Linked DNA regions of Arabidopsis thaliana. The protein of the gene in region 2 interacts with the protein of the main gene of each other region in a pairwise test. Each region holds a gene or a part of one and is shown on either strand. Other genes may lie near its edges.

Region 1 (4,266 bases), on a different chromosome or scaffold from region 2:
CAAATTGGCTCTCTCGGAGGCTGATTCACAGATGAAAACCCTGCCTGCAACTGCTCAGGTACTTGGTGAATTCACCTATGCGTAGAATCGTGGGTTTTATCTAGGATGTCAGGGTCAATGGTCTGCTTGTTTGTTTGCATAGGTCGCTGCCCAGCAAGGTGCTTATCTTGCAAAATGCTTCAACAGGATGGAGCAGTGTAAAGAGCTACCTGAAGGTCCTAAGCGCTTCAGAACTGGCGGGCATCATCAGTTTCGCCCCTTCCAGTATGCCTAATCTAATGAACTCAGGACCTTGCATCCTCATAAACTTCCAAGATATAGAGATGAAAGCTCTTCGCTTGATTACAGGTACAAGCACTTTGGACAATTTGCTCCACTAGGAGGGGACCAAGCAGCAGCTGAACTACCTGGAGACTGGGTTTCAGCTGGAAAAAGCGCCCAGTGGCTCTGGTATTCTGTTTATGCCAGGTAAACGCTGAGAAACTCTTTTATTCATTATAGTAAATGCACAGAATTTGAAACATGAAACATGAATGATGCAGCAAGCAAGTTAGCTGGCGAACGAGGGCTCTGGTGGTGTCGGACTGGACAAGGAGGTACATATTCGGGAGGGATTCAAGCCGCATCTGACTCAATACTGCATTTTGTAATGTGTTTAAGAGGAAACCAAGATACAGTCTCTCTCTTTTTCGTTTGTTTTTGGTGTAAATTTCACAAAGCTGTGGCCAAACTTCTTGTTTGTGAGTGGCAAAGCAAAAACCTTTTGAAAGAATCTTTCTTCATGAAGCTGACATTTACAAAAGATAACAAAAACTCACAATCTTAATGTGTATTTAGAAAAGACATTAAGCATTCCAACAAAGATTCTTGCTCTGCGAGCCGAAAAACAAAATCAAAACCAAACAAATTCACAATCAAGTAACCACAACAAGAGTTGTGGATTTTACTCAAATTGATAAGCGGATCATTCATTCTTCAAACTTCAGAAGCTGGCAAAAAGTGAAGTTACGATCCTTGGCTTGTAATTCTGCAACTCTCTTAGCAGCACCTGAATCACGAGGGCTCCCTCCCACACGACGAAGCGTTCTGATCTTAGGTAGCTCCTTAACTATAGGAGACTCGTCACCGTTCTCACCACTGCTATACAGATCAACTTCACTTGGAATCTCCCATCTCTTCTTCACTCTCCCTTCACTCTTGTTACTTTCATCAGAAGCTCTTCTCTTCTCCGACCTCTTATGATTCTCTTTCTCTTCATCCTCAGGCAACGACCTTTTCCTAACATCTTTCTCTCCAGTCTGCGTTTTACCCATTTGACTGTACCTACTAGCCACAACTCTTCCTGGTTTCAATGGTTTCCTTAAAGAAACATTCTTTTCATCTTCTTTGAATAGCCTCTTAGGCTGGATTGTTAAGAGAACTCCTTCTTCTTTCTTCACAGCTCTCTTTGACCCCACCGTCGTAGCTGCTTGCTTCTGAGCTGCCGTCATTTTCGCTTTGCGAGATCTCGGACTCAGACTCAAACTCGTTCTTCCTTTACCTCGTGTCGTCACTTGACCTTCTTCGATTCCAGGAAGCTTAAAGAAACAAGACTTGCGTCGATTCTGAGCTGATTGAAGAGGAGTCACAGTTTCAGATTTCTTCGCGGAATTGAATATCTCCGCTGGTCCAAGACTAACGCCTCTACGAGTGGCTCTTGATTTCGATCCTGTAAAACACGAATCGTCGAATTTCACTTGTTTCTGAGATGATTCCATGAACTTCGCCGGAACGATTCTTCCACGTATAGCAATGCTTCTTGCGGTTTGCTCCGCCTTCTCTAATCGGAGCGACTCCAATTTCGTCGATAATCGTCCGATCTCCTTCTCTACTTCTTCGATCTCTGCATCGATATCTCGCTTTTTACTCCGATCTGCGGCGGATTTGGTCTTCACGGTCTTGGATTTTGCTGACGGAGCTTCGGTGATCGAGACTGAGGATTGGAGCGAAGAGGAAACCGAAATCGGAAACTGATTCTCCTTGCTACAATCGGAATCGAATGATTCGTTGAGGTGAGACCAAGAAGAAGCTTCGATGGCGGAAGTGATTTGAGAATCTCCATCGTCGAAGGCAGCGTTGTTCCAGATCTGAAGCTTTGGAGGAGCGTTAAGCGTTTCTGTTGCCTCAATTGATGTCATATTCAGAGCGATTTGATCTTCTTCTACGAGAAATTTAGGGTTTGGAGAAAGAATTGGACACTTGAGGAGGAAGAAGGAAGAAGCGAGTATTTCTTGAGGATTATTTGACCGTTGGAAATGAAGGAGACGTTACTCATTACTCCATTAAGGAGCGTCGTCAGATTTGGACCGTTGGATTAAGCAGCCACGCTCCGATTTCATTCAAAGCCAAGTTACATAAATGGGCCAAATAGCCCAAGAGCTGATCTCGTTGTGGGCCTCTTGTTCCTCGCACAATTGGCCCGACGAATATAACATTTCAGTTTGCTCGTAAGATGAATTATAGGACCTACCTCAATAATGACAACCACAATAGATAAATAAATAAAAGCATTATGGAGTGACTGACTTGTCTGTCTCTTTGGATAACGATGGTTTTGGAATATTTTAGTACTATTGTTTAATTTAGAATCGTATTTTACTGTGGATAAAGTTGAAATTAGTGGTAATCGCAATCAAGATTCCAGATTGTAATAAAGTTGGTGAGCGAACGATGTTTTAAGATATAGAAAATGAACAGAGTTCTCTCATAATCCAAGGCTTGCTTTGATCTTTTAGAACATTCTAATATTCACAGAGATGTAACCAAACTATACAGTTGCATCCAGAAAATCCGACTCAAGCGATTTCATAAGCACGAGTCAACCACCACAGATGAACCAAACTATATACAGTTTGCATCAGAAAAAAATTCTGATTCAGCGGAGTTCATGAGCGAGCCACGACCATCATTATCTGAATTTAGCCTTGAGCCCAGCAGTTGAGGTACATGACTTGTCGGAGAGACTCATCGGGAGTGGAAGAAGAGGTACGACGTCTTTCTTCCGAAGGGAGAGAGTCGCCGGTTAGATCTGCGGCGGCGAGAGGACGGAGATCGGAGGAAAGTCTTCGTTGGAGACGGTGAGCAGAGGTGAGACCGCTTTTTAACTTGACGCCGTGATCGGCGTTTCCTTGAACAGCTACGAACGATGCTGCCATCCACACTTTGTTCAGATAACTCATTCTTTAATAGTGATTATATGTTGTAGATCCTTTCTTCGTAAATTGGAAACCTTTGAAAGATTTGAGAAGCTTTTGTTAAAAAGGAAGATTAGTTCGATTTTTGTAGGAAGGAAATGAAGAGATGAGGTTGGTACTTATAGCCAGAGGGATATTGGGGTGAGGGTAAATAGGTAAATTCAAAAAGATCTAAAATAAGCGATACCGTGCACAATGGATTAGTGGGATCCAGGTATAGGAAAGCGATACGGTACGATATGGTTAAGTTATCGTGAAATATCTCGGGGGAAATTGAAAGTGCTGAGTAATGAGGAAACAAGTGGCGAGCTTAGAGGGTCCTATCCTCAAGATGAGTCACCCTTGCTTCAATTATCGACCCCTTCATGTGGGCCCCATTCTTAATTATTTTTGTAATTTGGTTTTTTTTTTTTTTTTTTTTTGTTGAATGTAAATTTGTTTTGTTTTGTTTTGTTTTATACGAAAATGAAAAACCGATAGGTCGGCCTAAAACCAAAATGGAACGATGGTTTTATGTGAGGGGTGGGGTGGTGCCTAGAGACTAGGATAGAGTCCCACGAGGGGATTGGTTACGTGTTAACCGATTATTGGGTCATCACGTGCCCCTTCACGTGATATTACTGTCCATCAATACTTCTTGTCCCTTTGCTTCCGGTTAATTTATTATTAGTAGTGAGTATTTGTTTTTACTTTGATTTGCTAAGTGCTATCTTTAATGACTAATCCAACCAATTATATGTGAGTAGTTTAATTTTATTTTATTTTATTTTATTTTATCACCAATATATTAATGAGTAGTTTTAACTATCATATTCTTCTGTCATTCTAATTTGAAAACGTTTATTAGTGGAATGAGTGAATCTTGTGATAGTTGGACTTGGCTTTGTGAGGATGTGGGCCGTTCACATATTATGCTTATCCCACTTATACTAGATAAGCCCTGTCTGCTTCTTCTACTAATCTAAGCATATGTCTATCACATTTATGCTCATGTCAAACTATCTTATTGCATCACATATCTTCTTGCATTTGG
Region 2 (7,145 bases):
TCTGTCAATCTGGATATAGATAAGTCCAAAGGCTGCTGAATCTCTGGCTGATCCCGAAGAGTATCCCAATCTCTTTGAGGAGTGGCAAGTCGCCCTGTCCCTTGAAAATAGAGCTGCAGAGACGAGGTATCTTTTCGTCGTTGCCGTCATTAGCTTATTCTTAAAAACAGTGCTTATGAGGAAACCTTTTTAATTGAATTGTGGGACTTAAGCCATTTAGAGTCATGTGTCTGTATTACATAGCAAGGTAGCCGTCATGTATTTGCTTATAATTTGAATTTATACCCGTATAAACATAAGCCGAATGTCGATTTCATTTTTTCAGGATCCTCATAAACAAAGTATTTTTGTTGACTTATCTTGCAGGGGCGTCCATCCTCCTGCTGGGGATTATTGTAGTCATGCAGACAGAGATCATACAACTTTAGTGGATGCTTTTAGAATTATGCAAATAGAGGAAGAGGGTCGACTTGAGCAAGGGGATGTTCTCGACGAGGTATGCATGTTTACATTACATGCATTGAAGAGGATTGTCTTTTACCCATGATATCCAATCCAATGGTCTTGGCCATGGTGGACAATGGTAGGATCATTAATTCTACTGTCGCTGCTTCATTTGTTGTGAACAGGTTGGGGAAGAGGGGGAAGATGGAGAGGAAGAGGAGGAGGAGGATCGTCAGGAAGAGAGTAGTGATGGGAGACAGCAGAATGTGGAAGAAGAGGCTGTTGTGGTGGACGCTGACTCTACGGATGGTGCTGTGCTAGTTAATGGTAACGAGTCTGAAGAACAGTGGGGTAAGATTAGTGAAGGAACCGCATCAGCCTTATAGCATTTGTGGTTATCAATTGATTATAAGATGTCGCTGCACCAAAATATCCTTTTGCCATCTGCACATATATCATAGGATTTGCGTTTGCATCTGTCCATCAATGTTTCCTCATCTGTCTGCCTCCCATCTTCGTCTTACTGATCATCTTACTTTTGATGTTGACTGTCTTTTAAATAGTGCTTCTCTATGCCATTAACTTTTTTATCAATCCGTGGACTGATTAAATATTTGTTTGTTGTACAGTTCTAACACCGCCACAAGAGTAGGGTTGGTGAAGAGTGAAGACATACACAGATAGATATTTTCTTGGCTTTGAAACTTGATACATTCAGCAGAGAAATGAGGCAGCACAGAGAGAGATTAGTTTCCATTGTTAAAAAACTGATCTATTGATAGCTTCCGCTTTGTGCTTTTAATACAGATACATATTAAAAAAAAAGGGGGTTTTGGGACTCTTATGTAGCTTTAACTTATGAGAGATTTCACCTGTAGAATATCTGTTTTGAACTGAGATTTCACCCATATAATATGTTTTGACTTTCGATTCAATAGGTTATGTAGTTGATATCTTTTTTTTTTTTGCAAAACTCAATAGCAGTAGCAAAAAACTTAATTGGAAATAATCAAAGTGAAGGGATAAGTTGGGAAAGAGCCAGAGGATAACGCATGGTGCATTATTATTAGTATTGTGGAGGAGACGCATCTCGAAACATCTCTCAAAGCAAACAAGGACCCAAAACAAAGTTCCTTGCATTCTTCCACTGTCCGTAATCACCATCACCATATCATTATTCTTCTACCCATTTTGTCTTGGAAATGATTTTAAATTTTCTTGTTGCTTCTTACTGCAAACTGTGTATAGGTTCAACTACTCCATTGAGTTACACACTTGCATGCACCTATGGAAGTTAATTTTCCGGTTTTGATTGATATTCAAGTTGTTGACCAATGGAGTTATATACCCTTGATTTATATAGAAACCACATGTTTTATTTATATTAACATGGTCACTTTTGTCAGGATTAATAGACAACAATAGTTGAGAGAAAAAGTGATAAGGTAGAGCTAATTTGTATTAAACTTATCAATTAGTATTGTTGGTTAAAAAAAAGTTAATAAAGTAGTCAAGTTGGATAATTCCCAAAAACTGGGAAAAAAGAACTCAAGCGTCAAATGTTGTAGGTGCATCATCATCAGTCTACAAGTAGTAAAAAACCCATTCGATTTGATAAGAAGACCCAACGGAAAGAGTCTTCCCGTCTACAAAGTAAACCCAATCAATCTTAATAATCTTTAAGAGGTTTTTTCTTATTATAATTATCTATCTCTCTATCTATCTATCTGCGGATCTCTCATGAAGAAACACTGAGGAGATTCTCTCGCTCTGATCTCCTGGTATCGTCGTCTCTCTCCGTAGAGATATACTAGTTTGTCCCATATCCGATTGATTGCTCTATTCAATTTATTCCTCTTCTAGGTTTTCGGTTTGGCCCTCCGATTTAGAGGGATTGATGGCCCCTGATGGCGTTGAAGACTCCGACTATGAGAGTGATCCCGACGAGTTGAACCGCTCCTTGGCTACACGGAGGAGAGAAGCCAGCGATGATGATGAGGATGATGAAGAAGCGGACGACCATGATAAGCTGCGAGCAGCAATCCAGATTCATTCCGATGAACACAGTGGTGTTGTTGTTGTCGACTCTGATGATAATGAAGGATTGCACATAGAAGATAGTTATGGTGATGATGACGACGAAGAGGAAGATGGTGATTATGGACAAGTTGATGACCATGTCGAATACATTGCGGATAATAATGACAAGACAATTGTCGCCGGCAATGGGACCGATGACTCTGCCGCCACTGATCTTGTGGATGGAGAGGAACAAAAGAAGAAGGAACCTTTTGCAGTGCCTACTGCTGGAGCTTTCTATATGCATGATGACAGATTTCAGGAATTGGATGCCGCCTCTAATAGGTAAACTCTTTTTGATTCTATGAGGAGGTAGTGTTTTGTCCAAACTATGCAAATGTATCTATCTACTATTGAGGTAGAGTACATTGATAGGTGAAATTAGCAAACGACTTTCCGTCATTCAATCTCATGATGTACTTCAGAGTTCAGATAGATTGGAACAACTGCTTTGGTTTTATGTTTTAACTTTGATTGTGAATCTTTATGTATGAATCTACCCGAGATGCCATCACACTGCTATTTTTCCATTTAACATTCTGTTTAGTTACATGGTAATGCCAACCGATATAGGTTTTCGTTTTTTATTTCTGTAGGCGAATGCGTGGTGGTAGGAGGCTCTGGCAATCCAGAGATGAAAGAAAGTGGGGACATGACAAATTCGAGGAAATGAATACACAGAAACAGCAATATGATGTACTTTTCTCTGATCATCTCTCTTTCTCTTTCTCTCCTTTTCATAAATATATTTGTATTCATCGACTTGTTTCCTCTTGCTGTGTTTATACATTTGCCACCTCTTTTTTCTTTTTCCTTTTTTTTTTCCTTTTGAAAGCTGATTAATTAAACTTGTGAACATAGAGGAGGACTTCGAGAGGCCGAGGCAGAGGTCGTGGTCAGGGTAGGGGTCAGGACCGTGGACAGTCTCGGGGGAACAATTCTAAAGAATTTACTGGCAATGGACACCAAAATCAGTTTCCGAAGGCTGTCACGAGAGGGAGGGGGGCCAGAAGATATGAGGTTGCATTGAGAAATGGGAATCAAGCACCTTCTGTGCAAACCAAACAGTGAGTCCTTAATTTTGTTTCCTCTCTAGTCAACACATGAAGGCTCTAGGTCTCTAATTGTTGTGTCTTTTTACGGAATCTTTAGGTCCCAAAATTCGTCTGTGGAAGTGTCACACGTTGATTTAGGGCGTCCACCAACAGAAACAGCTACCTTAGAGACTGAAGCCATCCAAGCCAAAAAGAATGTATTTGCTTCAAGTTTAAATTCAGCTTCTCCTCCATTTTATCCTTCAAGATCCAACAATAACTTGGCACAAAAGGATGTACAAGCTGGCATGGGTAGGCTGCACATTAATGAAAACCCTAATCCGACTGGAAAGAAGTTTGGGAATACAAAATCCAGCTCCTTGTGGGGACGCACTGCTCAGACTACAAGTCATGGTAGAGGTGTACCTCCTCATGGGCAAGTGCTTTACCAGCAATCTCCTAATCAAGGTGACAAAGTTTCTTCGCCGATGCAAATCCGTGGAATGCCTAAAGGCACTGACCAGAGCTGTACTCAACTTCCTGGTCAGGTTTTTAATCAACATTCGGCTGTTATCAGTTTGCTGCCTTCTTCTCCTCCAAAAACCGGATCATCAGAAAATCCGTATCTTTCTGGTGAAATAGAGTCAGCCGTAGAAACAGGTGCTTTGGTTGCCAAGGGAAAAGGGTCTCTCCAACCTAGTGGAAGGGGATCTTTTATGTATGGAGGGACACAGTTTATGGGCCCTGCCGGGATGGCAGCTGGTCACGGCAATCCAAATTTCCCTGCTTTTCTACCTGGTAAGTTGTTCTTGAATGTCATTGTTCATCCTACATTGTAATGGTTGAAAGACATCTTTCAGAATCAATCTATGCATGCTAGTGAAATTGAGAGCTATTGATGCTGAGCCGCTTGGCCTGGTTGCCCATGTCTAGGGCCGCTTGAGAACGGCACCTTTTTGTACAGGTGCTAATATGCACGCCTGACTAGTTTAAACTTGTTTGTTTTCATTTTCATGTTCAGTTATGCAATTCGGTGGTCAGCATGGTGGGGTTCCAACTTTTGGAATGGCTCTTCCAGGTTATTTCCAACCAGAACATGGTACCGGAAATCCTGAGATGACATGGTATGCAGTTCCACAGCTATGTTTTAAAAGTTATATATTTGGTGCATTCTTAGTTGACTTGCTGCATGCTTTTGTAATTTGAGAGGATGTTTAATCTTGTAACTAGTCTTTTACTAGCCCAAACAGAACCTGAATTATTGCTTTCACTCGTCTGCTGTTTGTTTTTTGTTTGATTTCCCTATTTCTCTATCTATAGTAGGTCCTTATTACTGCTATTATTTTCTTAAATTATTGACAGGCTGCCAATTTTGGCTGGCCCTGGAGCATTAGGGGGTTCATATTGTCCACCTTATACTGTCCTTGATGGTTCTTACCAAGCAGACAAACCAGGGTTACCTTCCTCTGCCGGATCGTCCAGGTTTAGAAATAATTTTCTCAGTATTGTTAATCAACATGTCATTTCCATATGCATATGTGTAGACTCTTTGCTTTTTACCTTAGAGGAAGAGTAGTATGGGAATGCAGCTTTAAGCCCTTAACTAAGTAACGTATGTGAGATTTTAGATTTGTGGTTCCTCTTATTCTAGACCCACTGCAAAATGCTTGTTACCTGTTAGATTTACATTTCTTAAGTGCTTAGATTAGTAGTTTCTCGACTATGTACACCCAGAAACATGTAGTTTTCATTAAACAGACTCACTTTCTTGGTTGGGCACTCATGTAACCATGTCAATCATCTCTGATTATGAGCGTCTAGTAAAGCATATAATTTGAGCTCAAGTACCCAATTACCTTATATTTTTGATTTTTTGTTGCAGCCAAGAGAACAGTTCCAATAATCCTAATGATGAAGAGCCCATGGAGAGACCTGGTAAGTAATAACTCTTGCCAATTAAATGGGGTTGTTATAATGGATTCAGAAGATTTTGTTGTGTTTTGGCGAATAAGAAATTTGAATGATTACATGGAGAGACTGATTCGTATGGGGGTTTATTGATGTAGAGGTTACGAACAATGGGAATTCTCAACGGTCAAATAGCAACCCAAACAAGCAGCCTCGTAGGTGAGTTTTGAAGCAATCTAGTTTATTTATCGGTCAGTGTTAGTGTGACGTGAAACCACCTTGAAATCAAAGTACCACAGGAGTAGTTGGATACAGATATTTGTGGAAATGAAATGTTAATATTGGTCCAGGATGAAATGAAACACTAACGAGCACATGTTGACGAGGGATGTGCAGATACTCGGAGATGAGCTTTAGCAAGTGAGTAAAGAAGAGTGGAAAGGAAGAAGGTCATCTAATTTGACTAAGTGGAGTGAAAGGAGGAGGGTGAGAGAGAAGAGCTCCTTAGGAGCAGCAGGCCCTTGGTGCTTCTCCAACTGCTTTATGAAGCCGTTTGGGCTGCTATTATTGTTACCTATTTTTATTAGGTACGCAATTTCTCTCAAGATACCAATTGAAGAGAGGTTTTAACCACATTATAATTTGAACTTGTGTTTGCTGTTTTGTTTTCAGGAGGTTGTTGTGCAATTGAAAAGAATTTTTGTTTTGTTTTCGTTGTTATGAGAGCTTGAGCTTGAGCCGTGGGCGTCCTTCATCTGTAATTTATTCTTTTGTCCGTTTGGGTTCAAATTGATATTTTGTAATGTTGATATGTGTTATTCTGTTTTCGTTTGTCAACTTCTTTATCAAAAGTTGTGTGCCCTATTCGTACGCCTGCGAAGTCCCCCCAAGAATTGCCCATGTTGAGTTTTGATGGTAGTTAGTTGTCTATGTTTTATATTTTACGCAAGGGGATAGTGGTGGTGCTCAGTCAAATTTACCCGATTCGTGAGAAATGAGTCATTGAGGAATTGTTACCATATATATAAAGACATGCCTCCGCTCTGGTTATTTAGTTATGCGACAAAAACAAAACAGACCGCATAGAATAGATGCAACAAACCAAGTGTATAGAAACTTTATTCCTTGGCGCAGCAAAAAAAAAAAAAGGGATAGAGTCTCCGTTGATTCAGGTAGCTCAGCGTCCTCTGAGATGAAACGATTGTTGTTGTTTGTTTGTTGATTTTAGTTTTTAGTTTAGTGGAAGATGATCGGTAATAGCGTCTACATCTCACCGTCACCGTCACCGTCCGACCACTCTCTCTCGCCCAACCCTAATCTCTGCATCTCGGCGGTTGGTTTCTACTGTCTTCCTTTCTCTCTCTCTATTTACTACAAATTTTGATTTCAATTTGGGTTTCCGATTTCGATTTCAATTTTGAATTTGATGGTCTTCAGATGGAAGAGCAGCTGGTTGTTGATGATGATGATGATGACCTTGCTCCTCCTCCAATCCCTGATCTCGATATTGACCTTGAAGATGATGATGACGCCTGTTGTCACGGCTTGCTTCATATCGCACCTAATCACGAAGAAGAAACTGGATGCGACGAAAACGCTTTTGCTAATGAAAAGTGTTTGATGGCTCCTCCTCCTACTCCTGGAATGGAGTTCGAGTCCTACGATGATGCTTACAGTTTC

The links.
Region 1: the proteins of AT1G80000 (region 2) and AT4G28230 interact in a two-hybrid assay, tested with the Arabidopsis thaliana proteins (one large-scale study listed by BioGRID).

Annotation. Positions count from the first base shown.
Region 1 is NC_003075.7:13,995,022-13,999,287, forward strand, and holds AT4G28230 (uncharacterized protein), read right to left. Parts: upstream 2,287-4,266; 5' UTR 2,178-2,286; coding exon 969-2,177; 3' UTR 758-968; downstream 1-757. Other genes in the region: NDB1 (NAD(P)H dehydrogenase B1), read left to right, coding at 1-58, 143-264, 349-468, 543-630; AT4G28240 (Wound-responsive family protein), read right to left, coding at 2,958-3,218.
Region 2 is NC_003070.9:30,090,854-30,097,998, forward strand, and holds AT1G80000 (CASC3/Barentsz eIF4AIII binding protein), read left to right. Parts: upstream 1-1,953; 5' UTR 1,954-2,341; coding exon 2,342-2,808; intron 2,809-3,119; coding exon 3,120-3,219; intron 3,220-3,384; coding exon 3,385-3,590; intron 3,591-3,675; coding exon 3,676-4,355; intron 4,356-4,578; coding exon 4,579-4,681; intron 4,682-4,919; coding exon 4,920-5,039; intron 5,040-5,439; coding exon 5,440-5,492; intron 5,493-5,623; coding exon 5,624-5,684; intron 5,685-5,815; coding exon of another isoform or gene 5,816-5,825; exon of another isoform or gene 5,826-5,861; coding exon 5,862-5,889; 3' UTR 5,890-6,052; intron 6,053-6,137; 3' UTR 6,138-6,470; downstream 6,471-7,145. Other genes in the region: AT1G79990 (coatomer subunit beta-2), read left to right, coding at 20-126, 367-496, 630-795, 1,074-1,096; FRS8 (FAR1-related sequence 8), read left to right, coding at 6,712-6,798, 6,903-7,145. UniProt on the Arabidopsis thaliana protein: Core component of the splicing-dependent multiprotein exon junction complex (EJC) deposited at splice junctions on mRNAs.